Linked DNA regions of Sus scrofa. Each later gene encodes a partner of the first gene's protein in a complex. Links are inferred from orthologs where the notes say so. Each region holds a gene or a part of one and is shown in the gene's direction. Other genes may lie near its edges.

Region 1 (3,647 bases):
TTTACACGTTCTTTGCCCGTCCTTGCTTCATTTTACAGAAGAAACAAGTTCAGGTAGGTCACAAATTTTAGAGAGAAACAGGCTTCTGTCACAGCCCATGTTCTTTCCTTTTTACCAATGTTTCATTCCTAGAGAACCGGTTCCACATTCCGCCTGCCCCTTAGCCCTCTTCCTGCCCTGAGAAAACTCCAGTTTTGAAAGATGTTACCTACCAAACTGTATCCATCAGATAAACTATTTTTACTGTATTGTGGGTAATCAGAAACAAAGAATTGCAGTTAGACCTTGTGATCAGCATCGTACTAACCAGTAGCCATGCTGCATTGATATAATTTCAGCAAAGAAGGCTGTTTGGGGGGAAATGGACACATTCCCTAAAGCTTTAGGAAATAATGAAAATGGTTTCCAGTAGGCATGCACACCTTCTTAGAGCCTGAAAGGTGAGAGGAGCCCTGCGAGCAGTGAGCCCCCGGTTCCAAACGCTGCTCTTGGACCTGCTGCCTCATGACTGAACGTCTCACAGTCGTGTGAACGGCTGAAAAGACAATGCTCCGTCTCAGAGGGAGCGTCTTGGATTGACGTCGTCTTCTTTTTTTCCTTTTTCTTTTTGCATGTAGATTGAATATGAAAGGAAAAAGAAAGAAGATGGAAAACGAGCCCGAGCTGATAAGCAATATGTTTTGGATATGCTGTTTTCGGCTTTTGAGAAACACCAGTATTACAACCTGAAGGACCTGGTGGACATCACGAAACAGCCTGTGGTATGTATCTGCTCACACTGACCCTTCACTCGTACGGCTTTCCTGAGAAGTGCCTTGTCAGTAAGTTCACTCACACCCACACTGATGCCAGGTTTTACTCCAGCACAGAAAAGATGTCTGAATGTAGCCTTTTTTCTCTGTCTTTCCTTTTTGTTTTTATTTTTAATTATTTATTTGGTAACTTTAGCTTCATTGTTGTGAAATCTATTTATTTATTTTTTATGAAAGCTCATTCATTCAATTCATATTTATTGTGTCCTTCTGTAAGCCAGGCATTGTGCTAGAAACTCGTTTTCATTTAAAAAAAAAAAAAATGGTACCTGTGGTTTTTTGCTTGTTTCATTTTTAAAGGTTATACTTCGTTAGAGTGTTATAAAATATTGGCTATACTCCCTGTATGGCACAGTATGTCCTTGTAGCCTACTTTCCACCTAATTGTTTGTCCTTTTTACTCCCTCCCCCTCTATTGCCCCTCCTCTCTCCCTTCTCCCCACTGGTAGCCTCTAGTTTGTTCTCTGTATCTATGAGTCTGCTTCTTTTTTGTTATCTTCACTAATTTGTTGTATTGTTCAGATTCCACATATAAGTTTTAACGTAGAGTGTTTGTCTTTATCCCTCTGCCTTATTTCACTTAGTGTAAGGCTCTACAGGTGCATCCATGTTGCTGCAGATGCAACATTTCTTTCACTTTTATGGCCAAGCAGTGTTCCACTGTGTGTATATAGACACTACATCTTTATCCATCCGTCTCTTGGTGGACACCTAGGGTTGCTTTCACATCTTGGAAATTATTTTTTTAAAAAAGGGGGCCAGTCTTTAAGGCACTAACCTGCTATGGCCCCCTTTGCCTGGCAAAGCAATAAAGCTATCTTTTTCTCCTTTACCCCCCACTCCAAAAAAATGAAATACGAAGTTTAAAAAAAGTTCCCATTGTGGTACAGTGGGTTAAGAATCTGACTTAGGGCAGCTTGCATCGCTGTGGAGATGCAGGTTCGATCTGTGGCCTGGCGCGGTCGGTTAGAGGATCTGGCAAAGGTTGCAGCTGTGACTCACATTCAGTCCCTGGGCCAGGAACTTCCATATGCCCTGGGTGCGACCATAAAAAGAAAAATTAAATGATGCTGCTATGAATATTGAGGTGCACATATCCTTTGAGTTGGTGAGTTTTGTTTTTTTCCCCCCTAGATGTATATATCCACTGTTGGAATTGCTGCATCATGTGGTGGTTCTTTTCCAGTTTTTGGAGAAACCTCTATATTGTTTTCCACAGCAACTGCACCAATTTACAGTCCCACCAACAGTGTAGGAGGGTTCCCTCACCAATATTTGTTATTTGTGGGCTTTAGGTTTTTTGGAATTTTTTGGTTTTTGGGCTTTGTTTTTTTGTTACTGTTTTTGATGATAGCTGTTCCCGACTGGTGTGAGGTGATATCTCATTGTGGTTTTGACATTCATTTCCCTAATGGTTATTAATGTTGAGCATCTTTTCATGAGCCTTTCGGCCCTGTGCACTACCTCTTTTGAAAAATGTCTCTTCATTTCTGTCTAAGAGTGACTTTTAAAAATGAGCTCCAAGTGGAAAGTCACCAGGGTACACATTCTAAATAACAAAACTGGATTAGCAGTTGATCAGTGCCTCTCATGGGCAACTCCATGTGTAGCTGTGCTCTGGCAGGGGCAGCCTCAAAGCAATGGTGGAGGCCAGGCCAGGTCACGGTTGGCTGAGCAGAAGGTGATGCTCGTCTAGGAGCAGGTGGAACAATGCCCATTATTTTAAACTTTAAAGACATTCACTACCGATAGTTTCATCTGAAAAAAGGTGGATTTGTCCTCCTTTTGATTGATCCTTGACCTTAAGCCCGAAGTCTGTTTGTATCATTTCTTGTATTTTGTTCCCCTCCATCTCTACACAATTCAGCTTTTTTGGAGGGAATGGAGGTAAAGGTTGTGCCTCATAGAATCACATTGTTTTAAAAGCCATACTGGTCTCTTCCCATTTTGTGAACTATTATCTGTGGATTTTTTTTTTTTAATTTAATCAGCATCTATATAGCACTAACATTAGCTCCTTTAAACTTGCGCTGTACTGCCTCACACTGCTCACTGAGATTGTGGTTGGGTTGGCCAAATCTACATTTTCAAGGAAAATTTTAATAAATTAAGGTTTTAGAAAGTTTTTGTTCTTGGAGTTCCCATCCGTGGCTCAGTGGTTAACGAATCCAACTAGGAACCATGAGGTTGTGGGTTCAACCCCTGGCCTTGCTCAGTGAATTAAGGATCCAGCGTTGCTGTGAGCTGTGGTGTAGGTTGCAGACATGGCTCAGATCCAGCATTGCTGTGGCTGTGGTGTAGGCCAGTGGCTGCAGCTCCGATTGGACTCCTAGCCTGGGAACATCCATATGCTGCAGGAGCAGCCCTAGAAAAGGCAAAAAAAGACCAAAAGAAAAAAAAATTTTTTTGTGGAGTTCCCGTCGTGGCGCAGTGGTTAACGAATCCGACTAGGAACCGTGAGGTTGTGGGTTCGGTCCCTGCCCTTGCTCAGTGGGTTATCGATCCGGCGTTGCCACGAGCTGTGGTGTAGGTTGCAGACGCGGCTCGGATCCTGCGTTGCTGTGCCTCTGTCATAGGCTGGTGGCTACAGCTCCGATTAGACCCCTAGCCTGGGAACCTCCATATGCCTCGGGAGCGGCCCTAGAAATGGCAAAAAGACAAAAAACAAAAAACAAAAAAAAATTTTTTTTGTTCTTATCATTTATCCAGATTCTTGTGCCTATTTGCTAATAAATTGTGTTTCTAATCCATTTAAAATGTTGGTAACAAATGAGATCTGAATCCTTTCTCCAGCCTTTGAGTCACATTTCCTCCTATTTAACTTTCTCACACCTA
Region 2 (3,743 bases), on another chromosome or scaffold:
GAATCACTGAATTTTTGCAACATTTAAAAAAAAAAAAAACCAGGAAAAGTTGTGCGGTCATAATCCAGGTGGTGACCTTTTTTGGGGGGTTAGTTTTAACATTTCTACCACCTTGAGAAGTTATTTGAAGTAAGTGGGCTTGGAGAGGCCGGGACTCTGGGGAACGGAAATTTAAAGAGACTTTGTAGTTGTACTGATGGAGACAGACAACTCTGCTGGCTTCAGGGATTATTAATTGTGGAATGTAATAATATGTAATAATTGTTGAATGTAGTAAGAGGGGAACCAAATCAGTTCCCTTTCAGGAACTCATACACAATTTTGCAAGCGAAAGGCCCACCCTCAGCAAGGCGTGCTAACGCTTCAGCAACTAGGAGTCTGACCTTAGCTCACGCTCGGAGATGACTCCGCACTTAAAACTTTTGCCGGAAGCCGGGCCACGTGACCCGCCCTTTTCCACAGCCATGCCTAGCGGGGCAGCCGCCAGAGCTCCTACATTTCCTAGCCCCTCCAGCGTGGGACAGCTCAGAATCTCCCGACAGGAGGCGGAATCAGCTAGGTTTCGACTCGAGCGTCGCCACAACTCACGCTTTTCTCCAACAGAGCTTTGCAAGTTCTTCATCCCAAAACAGCAGCCGGAGACTTCCGCCTGGTTGCCGACCACGTGATCACGCGACATTTGGGGAGACCGCGGTCGGACTTCCCTACTTAAGTCCCCGGGTCCCGCCCACACAACACCCTCCCCTGAGCGTGACGACGCGGCTCGCGGCGGCCTCCGCCCCGGCGCGCCTGCGCACGCGGCTCTCGCGGTGTCTTGCGCTCAGCCCCGCCCACCTCTGCCCCCGCCCTTTCCGCCCCTCCCTCCCCCTCCGCCCTGTCTCTCGGCGGCAGCGGCGGCAGCGGCGGCTCGCGCAGCTCGTTGGCTCACTATATAAAGGGAGAAGCGGGCGGACCGGACGGCTGGAGCTGCAGCCGGTGGCGGCAGCGGCGGCGCGGGGAGCGGCGACCAGTGGTGGTTTCCCTCCTTGGCGCGGGGTGGGGAGCGGGCAACGCCCCCCAAACCCCAGAAGGGTCGTGCCCTTTTTTTTTTTAAGGGCGATCCTCGAGTTTTTAGCTCCGGGAGGACTGCCCCCTCCTCTTCCTCCCCTCGCCGATCCCCTCTAATCCAGCAGGATCCGATTTTGTTTAAAATTCCCCCCCCAATTTTGCGGTGGCTTGGGTCACCCTCTGGGTGTTTTTTTTTTTTTTTTTCGTTTTGTTTTTATCTTGTTTTCTCGGGGCTTGCCCCCCTCTTGTTTGTGTTGTGTGTGGAAATGGCGAACTCGGCAAATACAAACACCGTGGTAAGGACGTGGTTCGGTGGCCGGCGGGGGCTTCGTTCAGGCGGCAGCAACGGCCGGACCGGGCGGGGGCGGGGACGGCGGCGACTCCCGGCCTCAACTCTCAGCTGCCCGCGCGGCTGCCGCCGCTGCCGCCGCCGCTTCCCGCCTCGGGCGGAGCGGGCCGGGGCGCGGGGCGGCGGGCGCGGGGGGGTGCCGAGGGCTCGGGGCCGCGGCGGCAGGGAGGGCGGGGGTGCCGGCGGGGCCTGGAACTGCCGCGGGGCGGTCCGGGCCGCTGAGGCGGTTGAGGCCGGGATGAGCGCGCGGCCCTGGCCCCAGACCCCATCCGCCAGGAGGGAGGGCGGGAGGGGAGCCTCCGCTTCCTCCCCGAAGCGGGTCCTGCCGCGCTGGCTGGAGAAGGGCTCTCCGAGCAGCCTCAAAACAAAAACCGTGTCTTGGGAACTGGGCGAATCCCCAAGACCCACCGCGATCCACTTTAACGCAGTGGAAGGCTAATGGCTACTTGGGGGTTACTTTGGGTGTTGTGGCGGGTTGTGCTTAGGAGGCTTCACTGGGGCCATTTTACGTTTAAGAAAAAAAAAAAAAAAAAAGGACGAAGGTTGAAAAGCACTTATCTCGGTTCCTTCCGAATCGGTAAAATGGCGAAGGGGAAGCAACCCCCCCCATCGTATCTTCGACTAGCAAAAACACCAAAACAAACAAAGCTTACAGTGGTCAAAGTGCCCCCACTTTCGCCTCGAAATTTGCCTACTTCTCACCGTTTGTCCCTTTTTTCTTACTTGCGATCACGTAGGTTTGCAAAAAGCAGTCACATAAATAACCTTTTCAGTCACCAACGCAATGTGATCACTAGTCCACCCCACTCTCTTATTTTTATTGTGACAATAAAACACGTTTTTGCCCGGTCCCAAATGCAGACAAGCCCGCGGCCGCCCGACTCCGTACCGTTGACGACTCGGGTCGATCCATCATGGCTGCGGCCGCTTACCCTGCCTTTCAGTCCCTGAGCCTTGTGGTCCTCCTCCCTTTGGCTGCCCTGTTTATATAGAGCCATTGCCGCTCTCTAATATAGACTCTGCCAGGATGGGAAGGTGCTTTTCAGGCCTACGTCACCGCCTCTCCATTTAAACACCAGATCCGGCTTTAAATAGTGAGAGCTGCTGAGAGCGGGGCTGGGAGGTGCGTGCTCTCGAGGCGAGAGGCAGGCGTGTGTAGAGCTCAATTTATTTCCAAGTCCTTTCGTACTCTAATTTCATACCCAATCGGGGCTGCTTTAGGAGCCCTAAGTTTTTGTTTTGATGCAGCAGCTGGGACTTAACCTTTGTTAGGGGAAAATAGAATTGCTGTCCCTTTTTATTTTGTGTTTTGTTTTTAAAGAGAATTTTAGCTTAGATGTCTTAATTGTTCCTGTATTGAGAAGATGCATGCATTATTTTTTTTTGTTTTTTGTTTGTTTTTGAAAAGCTTTAGGCATTACCTGTTAGCTGTAGAGGATTTGATTTTGGTAGTGCTTTGTTTATCAAGTATTCAGGGAATGTTAGACTATAGCTCGTAATACTTCATTATTTTTCCTATAATAAATATTTGAGACACGAAGCTTTTCAAAGTAGATAAGTATCTAAAGCTTTGACATAGGACCTCCTGTCAACAATACGTGTATGTATGGGATATTATGAATAATGTGAGAAGGCTTAGTGCAAACTGGGTATTCAAAAATTAAAATTCTAAGTAGACGGTATTTTCATTTATTTGCATGGTAATATGGTATCCAATATAGATATTAATCCAGTTTATTTTCCAATATTGTACTAGAGTCTCAAACTTTTGAAGAAACCCTTTAATCATTAGCTTATGCCACTGATGGCCCTTTAATTAAAGTTTCAAAGTTTGGACTATCTTGTTTTTGAAAAACAGGACAAACCTAGATTACTATGTATTTCATAAAAGACAAAAACTTTGGCTCAAGTAAAATAAAGTTTAGCATTTTAAATGAACTTGCTTAGTTCACATAGTGCCTATGTATTCACATATTTTTAATAACATCAGTATTTTGGACACTTTTTAAATTAATGAGCAATCCTGAATTACTCTTTATGCGTATACTTCTGAAGAATACACATTTCCCTTCCTTCAGCTGTAGTGCATGTGAATCTCTGTGGTCACTTTGCAAGTTAATTAAAGCACCTAGGCAAACTCTTAAAGTAAGATTGATTCATTAAGTAGGGAGTTCCAGAGGAAAGCACATTGTACCTATAAATGTGTGGATCACCAAGCAGATATTTTTAGGGGTGACTGACTTCAGAAACACTAAAACAGCATCTAGTTTGCTGAAAAAATAATTTATATCATCAATATAAGATTTATACTACTAATTTAAAATTATACTGGGGCTTTATAATGCCT
Region 3 (3,747 bases), on another chromosome or scaffold:
ACCTGCCAAGTTCTATTTTAGGGCTTCTCTGTGTGAGCTCCTGCCACCTTTTTGAGGCCTATTCAAACTTCTCTCTAGGGGGACTGTTTAGGGGACTTGCATAATTCTTTGTCGTACATTGCCCCTGGGTGACACACACTGCCAGGCACTGGAGATGCAGAGATGAAGAGATCATAACCCACCCACCTCCGCAGAACTGGAGGTGATAGGTTGAAGAGAACTGCATCTTCCTGCAGTGTCAAAAGTGCATGATCCAGACTTAGGAGTGGAAGGGAAAGGGTATAAACCTATCACTCAAGCAAATTTTGCTAAGTACATGTAAAGTATTGTCATCCCTCAGTCTTTTGGGCTTTTGGTTCTAGAACTCCCCCGTCCCCTCTCAAAATCTGGATGCTCAATTCTTTTATATAAAATGGCATAAGATTTGCATATAATCCACACACATCCACATAATTCAAATCATCTCTAGATTGCTTATAGTACTTAATACAATGTTTAATGTTATGTAAATATTTGCTGGGTGTGAGCAAATTTTTAAGTTTTGCTTTTTTGGAACTCTATGGACTTTTTTTTTTCTTTCAGTCTTCTTGAAGAACCCTTGGATAGGGAGGACTGACTGTCTTTTTGTTCCTCCATCAGTGTACAAACCTCATTAAAAGACATTATTGTTGGGAGTTCCCATTGTGGCTCAGTGGGTTAAGAACCTGACTAGTATCCATGAGGACTCAGGTTTGATTCCTGGCCTCCGTGGGTGGGTTAAGTATCCGGTGTTGCTATGGTTGTGGCATAGGCTGGCAGCTGCAGTGCCAATTCAACCCCTAGCTCGGAAACTTCCATGTGCCATAGGTGCACCCCTAAAAAGGAGAAAGAAAAAAATATATATAGTTAAAGGCCTTTTGTTGTCAGTGCAGTGGCTCAGGTTGCTGCTGTGTCATGGGTTTGATCCCTGGCCCAGGAACTTTCACATGCCAACCCCCCCTACCCCCCCAAAACCCCCCAAAACCCCCAAACAACCTACCCCAAAAACACTGTTATAGTATTCCTATGTATATTTAACCAGGTCTGTGTCAGTGGGCAATCCGTTTTATTTATCGTTTTTTGTTATAGTGCTGCAATGAACATCCTTGTACATGTATCTTTGCTTACAACTGCACGCACTTCTCATATGAATTTCTAGAAGTGTTTCTGTGGAGTCAAGGGCGTGTGCATGTTTTACTAAGTCGCCTTCTAAATGGTTGAACCTGGTGCCTTTTGAAGTAGGTTGAGGGTAGAAAACGTCGGAGCAGCCTGGCCTCCGAGCAGCAGGCGGCGCTCTGAGCGTGTCTCTGCGGAAGCGGCGGGACCGCGCTGAACGACTTCCGGTGGCGGCGTAGGCGCAGGCGCAGGCGCAGGCGCAGGCGCAGGGGCGCGAGCAGCAGAACCGACCCCCAAGGCCCCGCGAGCAGTCTGGCGCGATGCCGTATGCCAACCAGCCAACCGTGCGGATCACCGAGCTCACCGACGAGAATGTCAAGTTCATTATCGAGAATACGGACCTGGCGTAAGGGTGCTGAGGGAAGGGGCTGGCGGCTTCAGAGTGCCCGGGGCCTCGGCTCTGGAGGGGCGGGGGTCTGTCTTTCTTGAACTGGCCCCGGAGCCGGGGCTTTTGCTTTGGGAGCCGTGGGGCGCGGGGCCGGCTGTCGAGTCTGCGGTGCCCACGCGCCGCTTGGTTTTCATTCCTTAGGGTGGCGAATTCTATCCGGAGGGTCTTCATCGCTGAGGTGCCCATAATAGGTAAGCGGCCCTCGCCTCCTCGTGGTCAGGGCCACCAGTTCCCCCACCTCCCCATACCTTGGCGTTCCTGACTCCAGCCTTGTTTGGGGCCCAGGGTGGGGGCGCTGCGAAAACAGCAATGCTGGAGACTTGATCGGACCCCGTGCTCTTGCCCCAGGGCCACTGTGGCCCCTTCCCTGGCTCCCACGGGCCACTCAGTTCCACTCTTCGAGGTAAAGAGCACAGGTTCAGGAGTTTGCAGACTTGAGGTCGAATACTGTCTTTGTGAAACTTAGGCAAGTTATCAAACTGTGCTGCAATTTCCTCTTAACATTCGGACGCTAATAGTAGTTATCAGGGTGACGTCAAGGATTAAGTGGGGTAATCTCTATTAATTGCCTTGTATTTAGTGAGTGCTCAGTACCGGTAAATATCTTTTTATGAATCTGTTCCATCCACTGAGTTTACAGAGCTTATAAGTACCAGGCAGTGGTGCGAGGCACTGGGAATGCAATCAGTCTGGTCATTATACCATAAATTGTGATATGGGGTTCCCGTCGTGGTGCTGTGGAGACGATTCCGACTAGTAACCATGAGGTTGTGGGTTCGATCCCTGGCCTCCATCAGTGGGTCGGGGATCTGGCATTTCGGTGAGCTGTGGTGTAGGTCTCAGACAGGGCTCGGATCCTGAGTAGCTGTGACTGTGGCATAGGCTGGCAGCTGTAGCTCTGATTCAACCCCTAGCCTGGGAACTTCCATATGCTGCAGAGGTGGCCCTAAAAATCAGAGGGGGAGAAAAAGCACTATGGATCATAAGTCTGTGTTGTTTTTGTGAGATTTGTTTAACTTTGAGGTGTTCAAATAGTTTGTGTTCTTGGATTTGGTGATGGCATGAATGGTAGACTAGAGTGCTTCCCACAGAAATAGTCAACTCAGAGAAACACCTTTCTGTAGTAGTCTACAAGTCGCTGTTTTTCTGGGTGGTGTAGGGTACTCCCTGTATCAGATCCACCTGAGCATGTTGGCATGTGGTTCTTGTTAAAGTGTAGCTTCCTGGGCCCCCCTCTAGAGCTGCAGAATCAGTCTCTGGCAGCCTGGCCTTGGTGTCTGCAATGTGGTAAGCATTAGATAATTTTTAAATCTGAAGAACCACTGTTCTTAAGCCTTCAGGTGAATTTGGTGGCTAAACTGCATATCTGCTCTGCTTCCTTTATTTCTTTAGCAATTGACTGGGTTCAGATTGATGCCAATTCCTCAGTCCTTCACGACGAGTTCATTGCTCACAGGCTTGGTGAGTGCTGGGTTTGGGAAGTTAAAGGGCAGGGCAGTGGGGCTCTGCCGGTTTCAGGGGAGGAAGTCTCCTCACTCCCAAGGGGACTGCTGGCTTTTCCTTTGGCTTGGCCCCTTGACCTTGTTTAAACTGCTTCTCTCTGTCTTCCAGGATTAATCCCCCTCACTAGTGACGACATTGTGGACAAGCTGCAGTACTCCCGGGTATGCTGTGTGATTGCTTGGGAGGTCGGGGGTCAGGAATCGAGAGAAGCAGGGAACTCACGTTCTCAAAGGGATTTTTCCTGACACCTTGCTTGCAGCTTTTAGAAAGACAGTGTGGAGATGTTGTCCAGAGCCCAGGGCAGGCTATGTTCTTAAAATCTCATGGGGCCTCAGATTGACGAGGCTCCAGGGGCATCAAGGGGTTTTGAGAGCCCGCCACACAAGAGTGGATATACACCTGGATGCCCACTTATACACAACAGGTGGAGCTGTTCCTCCTCAGCGTCTGATCTGTTCACATTCTGCTTTCCACAGCATCTCTTCCCAGGGGCAGGGTCTTAGGAGGCCAAAGGGCGGCAGCAGAAGGTTAGTGGGTGTGGACAGGGAGCAGAGGGGGTGAGAACTGTCCCACAGAGGAGCACACGAGGGACTGGGGTGCTGATGTCTGCCAGCTTTATGCCTTACTCCTAGGTTTTGCTAATTAAACATGGCTCCCTTCCT

Evidence for each region.
Region 2: GTF2F2 (region 1) and GTF2A1 share a complex: the UniProt entries of both Homo sapiens proteins name them as parts of the TBP-based Pol II pre-initiation complex. The link is inferred for Sus scrofa from reciprocal best matches to the Homo sapiens genes GTF2F2 and GTF2A1.
Region 3: GTF2F2 (region 1) and POLR2C share a complex: the UniProt entries of both Homo sapiens proteins name them as parts of the TBP-based Pol II pre-initiation complex. The link is inferred for Sus scrofa from reciprocal best matches to the Homo sapiens genes GTF2F2 and POLR2C.

The regions. Positions count from the first base shown.
Region 1 is NC_010453.5:22,001,876-22,005,522, reverse strand, and holds part of GTF2F2 (general transcription factor IIF subunit 2), read left to right. Parts: intron 1-617; coding exon 618-761; intron 762-3,647. UniProt on the Homo sapiens protein: TFIIF is a general transcription initiation factor that binds to RNA polymerase II and helps to recruit it to the initiation complex in collaboration with TFIIB.
Region 2 is NC_010449.5:104,006,442-104,010,184, reverse strand, and holds the start of GTF2A1 (transcription initiation factor IIA subunit 1), read left to right. Parts: upstream 1-866; 5' UTR 867-1,313; coding exon 1,314-1,343; intron 1,344-2,285; exon of another isoform or gene 2,286-2,372; intron 2,373-3,743. UniProt on the Homo sapiens protein: TFIIA is a component of the transcription machinery of RNA polymerase II and plays an important role in transcriptional activation. TFIIA in a complex with TBP mediates transcriptional activity.
Region 3 is NC_010448.4:19,392,214-19,395,960, forward strand, and holds the start of POLR2C (DNA-directed RNA polymerase II subunit RPB3), read left to right. Parts: upstream 1-1,355; 5' UTR 1,356-1,454; coding exon 1,455-1,540; intron 1,541-1,723; coding exon 1,724-1,773; intron 1,774-2,974; coding exon 2,975-3,043; intron 3,044-3,193; coding exon 3,194-3,246; intron 3,247-3,747. UniProt on the Homo sapiens protein: Core component of RNA polymerase II (Pol II), a DNA-dependent RNA polymerase which synthesizes mRNA precursors and many functional non-coding RNAs using the four ribonucleoside triphosphates as substrates.